2 linked regions of the Drosophila melanogaster genome follow. The protein of the gene in region 1 interacts with the protein of each later gene in a pairwise test. Each region holds a gene or a part of one and is shown on either strand. Other genes may lie near its edges.

Region 1 (6,906 bases):
CATAATATTTTCTATCACATTCTTACCATCTCAACGTGAAATAAATCTCTACACCTTTTTTTAATACCCATGACTATTTTCTCTCTCTGCAGCAACAACAACTAAGTAAGTTGTCATCGCCAGCGCTGCTCAACTAATTTGCATATTTGGTCGCAGTAAAAACACTTTATAAGTGGCCACCCAGGGCAGCAGCCTGCGTGTGTTTGTGTGTAGATGTGAGTGTGTGTACATAGGCGCACTTTAAACAAAGTTAAAATGCGAGAAATTGGCCCTGCGCAAAACACCAGTAGCTCCACGGTAACAGCAGCAGCAGCAGCTTCTGGCCATTTACTGTTGCCAACAACTGTGACCTGCCCAAAAAGACGATGCCAGCGGAACTGGAACTGCCCCCTATTTCCCAGTGTGTGTGTGCGTGTGTGTGTGTGTAGAGGTCCTTAGGCAACTCGCACACAAGCACACGCGCGCAAACACCGACACAGACAGACTGGAAACTTGTTTCTTTTGGTCAACTTGTACAACATTGTTGCCGCTTTATGTTCTTCTATTTCTACAGCGTGTGCGTGAGTCCTATGGCTCCTCCTCTTTTCGTGGGCGGAGTCTCCGCGCGAGAGAGCGAACATCTCTCGGAGAAACGAAGAACGTCAGAGAGAGAGAGAGAGAGGCGCGCGCAGCTGCCTCTTTCGCAGACGCGGCTGTCTCGCTCGCTCAGCACGAGTGCTCAGTTTGTTTCAATTGCAATTATTTTGTAACATTCCAATAGGCCAATAGACCCAACCCACTGGCCAAAAAAAAGTTAAAAATTACCTAACGAAAACTCTCATTCCGACGCAGCGGGATATGCGGCACATTATGTAAAGGACTCTTTATGTAAAATGGGTTTTGTTCTTTTAAATAGATTAAAGTAGCAAATTGATATCACATTGTATATCCTTTTAAACGCTATAAAAGTTAATATACGTTATGATTTTCTGTTAAATACCTATCTTTATGGTTTGTTTCTTGTTTAACATATCATCTCATGTCTATACTTTTATGCAGCTGTAAATAAGTAATTATTATGCCTCTGTTTGTCAATTTTGTTCATGGAGATTTCAACACTTGAGACATTTGAACAGCGGCAGCTGGAAATGAAAAGCAAGTGGCGATGTGCCACAACCTAAGGTAGAAACTTTAGTTTTTCAAAAACAGGGGCCTGGGAATTTTAGATATCCCCCCAAAACCCCTCGAAAAGCAACAACTGCGCTGCCAACTGTGTCAGTTGAGTGTGTTTGTATGTGTGTGTGTGTGTGTTGGCCATGCCAACCAGCGGCGAGGTCGCAACAACAACGCTTTTGGTTGGCTATTCCATTAGCCCAAAAGCCGAGAGCCCCAAGCGCTCACGCACACAGCAAGCCGCTGAGCAGTTGAGCAGCTGAAGAGCGGCATAAAAAATAATTGTGAAACAAAGGCAACAAAGAAAATGAAAGAAACCCCAAACAACCACCAGAACAGCACCACACCACCGAAGCACCACCACCACCACCACCACCACCACTACCATGGCAATTCCCTTTGAGAACCAACCAGTGCGGAGTGCTCTCCCGCCACATTACTCATACGCCGCGTCGCCGCCTCGAGTGCACAATTTTGTATACAGTACCAAATTAGATTTGAAACTTTTTTCTTAATTGCCAACCCTCCGCCGTCGCAGCCGGCGTCGCCGTTGGCGCAGGCAGCGACGCCGACGCAGGCAGCTGCGGCGCACAAAGGTGGTTGCAACACTCTCGGAATCGGGGATATATCCCCTATATCCAGTTTGCATGTACATGCCCACGAGCGTATCCGCGCACTTTCAACCCTCGTCAGCCGCTTTTGTATTGGTAAATGTTGCCGCTTGCCGCCATTGCTGAACGTCCGACGTCGAGCGTCGTGCGCTGCGGCCTTTTGGCCAAAAGTTGAATCAGTTGCAATCGAGGGCTCACTGTGTCATGTCGTTAGCGCGCGTGGATTGAATTCGAGAACTATGCGGATATAAATAGTTAAACAATAAAACAATCAAACTACAAGCTAACAACAAACAATTAAATACTAATCAAATAAGCTAAAGTGAAGTGTGTGCTCAGAAGTTTTTGACCTAACAACTAAATCCACATCGAGGTTTCTGATCTTCACGTCGAAATGAGTCTACCGTCGGGTGTGGACATGCAGAATCTGATGTCCCAGCATCCGGTCTTGGGAGCACTGCCACCTGCTTTCTTCTTGCGAGCCGCCTCGGAACGCTACCAAAGGACGCCCAAGTGCGCCCGCTGCAGGAACCACGGAGTGGTAGGTCCCTCGGTCATATACCATCCGGCATCTGGAGATTTTCTTTACCCACTGGATCCCCTTTCCATTTCGAACCTTTTGCAGGTCAGCGCCTTGAAGGGACACAAACGCTACTGCCGCTGGCGGGATTGCGTCTGCGCCAAATGCACTCTAATCGCGGAACGCCAAAGGGTTATGGCTGCTCAGGTGGGTTTCTACTTTAATATAGAAGGAATTACGTGGAAAGAATTGGAATAAATGTTATAGAATGAAGAAGATTGCTGAATTCATCTATATAGTTCAGTTAAAGAGAACCTATGTATGCTTAAAAGCAGGTTTTTTTTTATAGTATAGCATGGAAATCAAGTACTACTTCAAAATTGCAAAACTCCTCTGTTGACTTCAGTTAAAAATCATAGTAATATTAATGCATCTCCCTGTTACACGCCACTGATCAAAGATCCGCTTTCCGCCCATGCCCTCCTTGTTGCAGGTGGCCCTTCGACGCCAACAGGCCCAAGAAGAGAACGAGGCCCGCGAGCTGGGCCTGCTCTACACTTCGGTTCCTGGCCAGCAGAATGGCAGCGACAGTGCTACGCCCACTCCGCACAGCCCCAACCACAGCGGCAGCGGCGGCTCGGGCAGCGGAGGATCGGGCCAGAACGGCGTCTTCCACGGCGGGATTCCCTCGCCACCCAGCGACGGCTTCGAGGCCAGCTCCACTCCCAATCATCACCAGCAGTCGCAGCAGCAGCAGCAGGCGCACCACCAACAGCACCTTAGCCACCCACACCAGCAGTCCCAGCGGTTCAATGGCAATGAATCCGACACGGATGGACGCACCCGTTCCGAGCACCTCAGCGTCGGTTTCTCGCCCACCAGAACCGAGCTGGATGAGAGTCCTGGTGAGTGAAGTAAAGAATACTGCACACAGCTAACACCGGGAGAATATGTGACTGTGTGACTTGGGAAATGAAGTAACATCAAATATCACAGCACATATCTTATAAATTGAGATCTATTCTAAAACCAAGAAAACAGTTTTCCTTGAAGTTCTTCAAATGTTTACTGCTTATGAAATAGCATTACTTCCATTACACTCCATTTCGAAGGACACACTGACTTATTTTGCGCAGTGCAGCCGCTTAAGAAGCCATTCACGCCTGGCCATCTCAAGAAGAGGTCTTGAGAGTCTTGGGGGAGGGCAGGTTAAAAGCGCGTTAAGAAAAATTTGTTTTCGATTGTTCAGAAATCAGCGGTGCATAAAGTGCCACACTCGCGGTTGCATGTGCATTTGGCTGCGTGTATGCAAGTGGCGAAGTGGTGCTAGTGAGCGGGGCATAGGTGTTGTTTTGACAAAGACTTAGCCAGCCAAGCTGCAGTCGTGCACTTTGCCAAGCGGCGCGTGAAAAGGTCCTGGGGTTGCAGCCAGGCCAGGACATCAAGGGGCGCAAATTGCAACAATCGAGTTAAAGTCCTCGTTAGGAGGAAAACACTTGATTTAACGTGGTGCTCATTTCAGGGAAGGTTTTAAAGGCAAATAACTTGAAATTTCCGACAAAAATGTTCCATTACATCATATAATATCAAATGGCAAACTCTGAAATGCTGGTCGTCTCAAAACACTTGTGTGCTAGAATTTTACTCTTTTTCCCACAAAAAAACCCTCTCAATAGCTGAACAATAAAAGTTATTGTAACATTATCCAACATTATTTGTTATTATCCGAAATAAGCCAATCAATTCCAACCAGATCATCTCAGATTGCCCTGCCATCGCAACTCAAACCACTGGCCCATTAAACGCCAAACAGTTGCAAGTCTGTCGAGAATTTGAAAGGACCTTCGACCCCGCCTGCTTATTAGGACTATCGGCTGTGCAGATGGGGGTTATTACCCATAAGGTAACCCCATGCCAAGGGTTCTGGCAGGCCAGAAACGTGAGATACCCCCCCTGACTCAGCTCACTTGTCTTTATTTGTTTGCCCTTTCGGAGGAAGTGGTTTTTTCCAGCTCGAGAAAGAAAAACACAGCAGGATTCTCACGCGAATCAATCGGGAAAACCTGTCTATTTAAGTACCGGACTCTATTATTTGCCATGAAATCCAAGACGATTTCACGCTTGAATTTTTATTTTCGACTAAAGAGTGCGGCATTCGAGTTGGGTATTGGTATCCACGCACCCTCGACTTAATTAAATTTTTACTGCGGCTTCGTCAACTGCAAAATTAAACAGACTCGCACAAAAATATCATATAGCTTGTTTCATTTGTGGAAAAAAACAGCAGGTTGTCCCTCGTTGGCATGTCAACATCGCATCCTGAACTCCCTGCTCCTTCCACCGCCTTTGTTTGCGATGCCCCTGATTAAATTCCTTCCCATCTCTACACTTGATACTTTTATTTGCTCTAAGCTGCCAAGTGGAAACTGTGCGGTTTTCCACTGGCTACCTGAATCGCTTCGTCGATGGAAATCGATACCTGCGATTTTGGGAAAAACAATTGCTCAATAGGAAGTACACACTCTCGTAGGAGAACTATTACAAGATACTACTCTTAATGCATTTACATATCAACTGGCGACTAATCTGTATATACCTTCATTGTATTCCTTGCTTGCAGTGTCCAAGCGCGGAGCAGCCCTGTCGAACGAGACCGACCAGGACACGGGCTCCGAGTCCGGATCGCCGAGTAGTCCCCGGCCCAAGGTCGCCGGACTGTTCAATCTGACCGCCAGCTTGTCGCCCGCCCGCACTGGACCGCCCAGCTCGCCGGAATCGGATCTGGACGTGGATTCGGCGCCGGATGAGGCCACGCCGGAGAATCTCAGTCTCAAGAAGGAGGACAGCCAGTCGCCGCCCAACACGCCCGCCGAGAATCTTCATCTGCTGCGATCCTTCAGCAGCAGTCATGCCCAGGGCTTCCTGCCATATCACCACACGCAGTTCCTGGCCGCCGCCGGCCTGCCCGCCCACCACCACCCAGCGGCACACTCGCCGCACCACCAGCAGCAGCAACAGCAGCAGCAGCAGCAGCAGAACCACCTGCCACAGCACCACCAGCAACAGCAGCAGCAGCAGCAACAGCAGCAGAGATCGCCCATCGACGTCCTGATGAGGGTGTTCCCCAACCGACGGCGCAGCGATGTGGAGCAGCTGATGCAGCGGTTCCGTGGCGACGTGCTCCAGGCCATGGAGTGCATGCTGGCTGGCGAGGATTTGGGACAGACTCCGCCGCAGGTGCCGCCATCGCCGCCCTTTCCCATGAAGTCCGCCTTCTCCCCGCTGGTGCCGCCCTCGGTTTTCGGCTCCCCCACCCATCGCTACCATCCCTTCATGCAGGCGCACGCCAAGCGATTCCTGACTGCTCCCTACGCCGGAACCGGCTACCTTCCGGGAGTGCTCAGTGCGGCGGATATCGAGCAATCCGAGTCCAACGGAGCGGGCGGCATAGGGTTGGATCGCACCAGCAATGCTGGCGACTCCCAGGATTGAGGCATCGAGGTGGAGGCCAGCGGCGCATCCGTCTTCAGGCCTTTCGAATAAGGTTCCCACCCCTGCTACACTGCGGAAAAATGTGAACACTTTACGAGTCAAGAACACAATTCTTAACTTCAATGAGTTTTAGAGCTCTCGTTTGTTTTTATAATATTTTCAGTCAGCTGAAACCATAGAAGTTTTTCATTGCAGAAAGAACTTTCTTGATTTTTGAGCAACTGTTTCTCGCAGTGCACGTCCCGCAACTAAGTGTAAATTACATTTGCCCTCGACTCTTAGCACAAGTATTGTAACATAGAGACCGTATAAGTAAATAATACGTTTAATGAATTAAAACTTAAGAAAAACCATACACTCGATCCCAGTTATAAGAAGTATTTGTTTAGCTGAAATTAACATTATGACGATGATGAGATTATTGTGTAAGCGATTGTTGATTGCAACCAACTAATTGAGATATCCGTGTGTACCATATGAATATGAGCATATATATAATTATATTAAACATCATATTATGTCTTAGATAAAGTACATTTCAAACACTGTGTTAAAGTATTTAATAAATCTACAAATAATTCAATAAAATAATGAAGAAATTAATTCGATGCTATTTTTTTGTCGGGGAATATTGGTGTTTTTTTTTCCTACATGCATAGATAGATAGATAAGATACATCTTCAGTCTGCAAATGTACTGATGAATGTGCTGAATAGCCCAATTATAGTGTAATTATTTTGATGAATGCATAATGCATTCCAATTAAATCGTTTGGGCCTACGCTAAATGCCTGACTAATCAGATCAATAAATAAGGATATTTAATACAAAACTTCCATTGTTCGGAAATCCCTTAGTCCGGGTCATAGCTGGGTAAATAAACAATTTTCACAGCACGTAATGTATATTCGTGAGAAGTCGACCGGATAACAATGGGCCGCCCACAAGCACCCCAAAGAAATTGAAATACAAATAGGAAACTACTGCGATTATAGAGGCCACCCACGATTCGAAATTCAAAATTCCCAACTGGTCATCACGCGATGGCCAAATAATAATGCGAAGCGTTAATCCGTATCATCATTATCTATTTGCCACTATTTTGAGGGCAGTGCCACAAGACCCCGGAAAA
Region 2 (3,183 bases), 3.9 Mb from region 1:
GCCACATTCAAAATGCTTAGTTCATATTAATAATTCATAAAAATTTATGCGAAATAGACAACATTCGTTCCTGCGGTCTAAACCTGGCCGACAGCTGCCATTTTGCGGTCGCTGGGCTGATGAAGTCGACTTAACCCAGCTGTTTCCTACATGTATTTGATATGCATTCCTCGTTGTTTTTATTCTGCTCTTTGTTTATACAACATACAGCTGCTGCAAAATACCATATTTTGCCATGCTGATGCCCTTTTTCCCTCCATTGTTTTTTTTATTTCAATTTATTTTCTGCTTATAAGCTTGCTTTATAAGCAAGGTTTTGCCTATACTGCTTTGAAAATGAAGTAAAAATTTGAGAAACTTTTAGGTGAAAACATTCCATAAGCCAAATCTTTTGAATTGTAGAATTCACTTAGAAGCGCCACTTAAATAAAAATTTTCTGCCTTCACAAATGACGCCAGCAATTATAAAACGTAATTTCGCAATAATCCGCTTAAAAAGGAAAAGAAATTGAATTTGAAACCACCCACCAAAGTACACATACATACAATGCCAGATTTTTACAATTCAGTGGGTGATGCGATTATGTCAGTTAGATACATATTTCCAAATCAAGGCAGTTCTGGTGCCCAAAGTCTATTAAAAATAATTTATTTGATAAATTTAACAATACGTCTGTCATTTATAAATGCTTCGATTTCGAGTTTTATTAAGATCTACTTGCGGTTGGAGTAGAAGAATGTGTTTTCGAGCCGAGGAAGGGTTTCATCGTCACTTTCAACTACATCGCATAAAAGTTATGGGCCTACTTCATCCGTTTTGTGCAATATTTTTACTCTGTCTGATTGGATTGCTGTTTGTCTATGAATTATGCTACGTTTTGCCGCAAATAACTGATCCCCATGGTATATGGCACAAATTGTGTTGGTTTATGGGAATTTATACAGTCATCAATATATTGGGCAACTGGTGGCTCGGCTGTATGACCAATACCTCAGTCGATAGCTTAGTTCTGGAAAGACAGTATCCTGTGGCAGGTGAGGCTCACCTGTGGCACTACTGCTCCACATGCCAAAAGCTGGTGCCACCGAGGTCCTGGCACTGTAGTTTGTGCAACATTTGCATTCTGAAGCGGGATCACCACTGCACCTTCTTTGCCAGTTGCATTGGCCATAAAAATCAGAGGTATTTCCTTGCCTTCTTGTTTCACCTGAGCTTTGGCAGCGGACAGGCGCTCGTCTACAATGGCATTTTGAATTGGACAAACAAGGCCTTTTTGGTCGTCGATCCTTTGTTGCTAATGTTCCAGGATACAACCCAAGATGCTGATTTCAAATGGAAGTACACAATCGCCAACCTTTTCAAACTGAATTTATTTCTTTTTGGCGTCCCCCTCTTCATGTTCGTCTTTCAAATGATAATGGTATATCGGAATAGTACATGCTATAAGATGCTCGATCGCAGCTATGATGTTGGTTGGAGAAGAAATTTTGATATGGTCTTGGGAAAACGGCGCTTCTGGATTTTTTTCTCTCCAACGATCTCAAGTCCTCTTCCTACCGATGGCACTCAGTGGTTCCAGAAGCAGACAGTGTAAATTTTGTTTGTAAAAACTTTGAATATAAGATAGCGAATAAATTCTATTATAATATGTCGGGTTGGCGTTTCTTCTTCTGTGATGTAAATGTTTCTATTTAGTCTATAATTTACAACAGAAGTTTTCAAAATCCTAAAAAATGTGCTACGTGAATAGATTTTGCCATTACTTTGCCAATCGCTACCCGAAGAACTTTGTGAGGATAGTGCATCCACTTTCGATAGTTTTCGTCCTGTGCAGCACAGCTTTCTTCTTCTCACTGCAGATGTTTTACATTGCGCCCAAAGTGTTTGGCGACATTGCTTACAAGCTCTACTGGATATTGGTCACCTTCATAACGCACAACATACTTGGTAACATGCTGGCCTGCTATATGACTAGCTCATCGGTAAACACCTTGTCCAAGGACTCCCGATGCCCGAATCCAGAGGATGAGCCCCTGTGGCACTATTGCGAATCGTGTAAAAAGCTGAGATCGCCACGATCCTGGCACTGCGTTTTGTGCAACACCTGCATTTTGAGACGGGACCACCACTGTATATTCACGGGCACTTGCATTGGACACAATAATCAACGCTTTTTCTTCTGGTTCACATTTTATTTAACGCTCGGCTTAGTCACAAGCTTTGCAACATTTTGTATGTTTATCCTGCAGAATGGCGGTAACTTCATGAGTCTCTCGTCTGTGATTTTTAATTTAATAACTAGGACTTTTTTCCAAAATTATACTGGCAATACTTTTGAGACCATTGCCTTCCTCTTGAATATAAGCGCCAGCTATATGCCTGCCTTTATGTTGGCATATCAAATGCAGATTTTAAGCCAAAACTCTACCTACTATAATATTTTTGATTGCACCTACGATCTGGGTTTCCGAAAGAACTGCCAGACAATAATGGGCCAACGAGGACTTTGGACTTTTATATCGCCCTTGCTGAAGAGTCCTTTGCCCCATGACGGTGCACATTGGCAGATGAAGCAGTCTCACTAAATTAATAGACGTATTACTAAATTATTGAAAAATATATATCGATTTTAACAAGCCAATCATAACTTATTTTCATCTAATGTCAAGTTGTGGAAAATACGGTGTTGTATTCAAAATCCTACAATCATGTGTATCGTAAATGATTGGTGCCGCGAATATGCCAATCTCTATCCTAAGAAGGCCGTGAGCATAGGACATCCTTTGTCAGTGATTTTTTTACTGGTGAGCACGGTTTTTTTCTTCACGCTGCAGGTCTTTTATGTGGCCCCCGATGTGCATGATGGTTTTATGTATAAGTTCTTTGTGATATCAGCGATTTTTACAACATACAATATCCTGGGAAACTTGCTGGCCTGCTACCGTACAAGCTCAGCAGTGAAAAGTCTGCCTCAGGAGCGGCAAATTCCGAAACCGGGAACGGAGCACCTGTGGCATTATTGCGATATCTGTCAGAAACTGATGCCTCCACGATCCTGGCACTGTGCACTGTGTAAATGCTGCATTTTGAAGCGAGACCACCACTGCATCTTCGCAGCCACTTGCATCGGACACAATAATCACCGATATTTCTTCTGGCTTACATTCTATTTGGCATTTGGG

The links. The genes of interacting proteins can lie anywhere in the genome.
Region 2: the proteins of dmrt99B (region 1) and CG17195 interact in a two-hybrid assay, tested with the Drosophila melanogaster proteins (one large-scale study listed by BioGRID).

The regions. Positions count from the first base shown.
Region 1 is NT_033777.3:29,690,650-29,697,555, forward strand, and holds dmrt99B (doublesex-Mab related 99B), read left to right. Parts: upstream 1-1,941; 5' UTR 1,942-2,157; coding exon 2,158-2,304; intron 2,305-2,388; coding exon 2,389-2,490; intron 2,491-2,776; coding exon 2,777-3,188; intron 3,189-4,903; coding exon 4,904-5,775; 3' UTR 5,776-6,376; downstream 6,377-6,906.
Region 2 is NT_033777.3:25,775,733-25,778,915, reverse strand, and holds CG17195 (uncharacterized protein), read left to right. Parts: upstream 1-1,717; 5' UTR 1,718-1,734; coding exon 1,735-2,586; 3' UTR 2,587-2,640; downstream 2,641-3,183. Other genes in the region: CG4956 (uncharacterized protein), read left to right, coding at 687-1,595; CG17196 (uncharacterized protein), read left to right, coding at 2,710-3,183.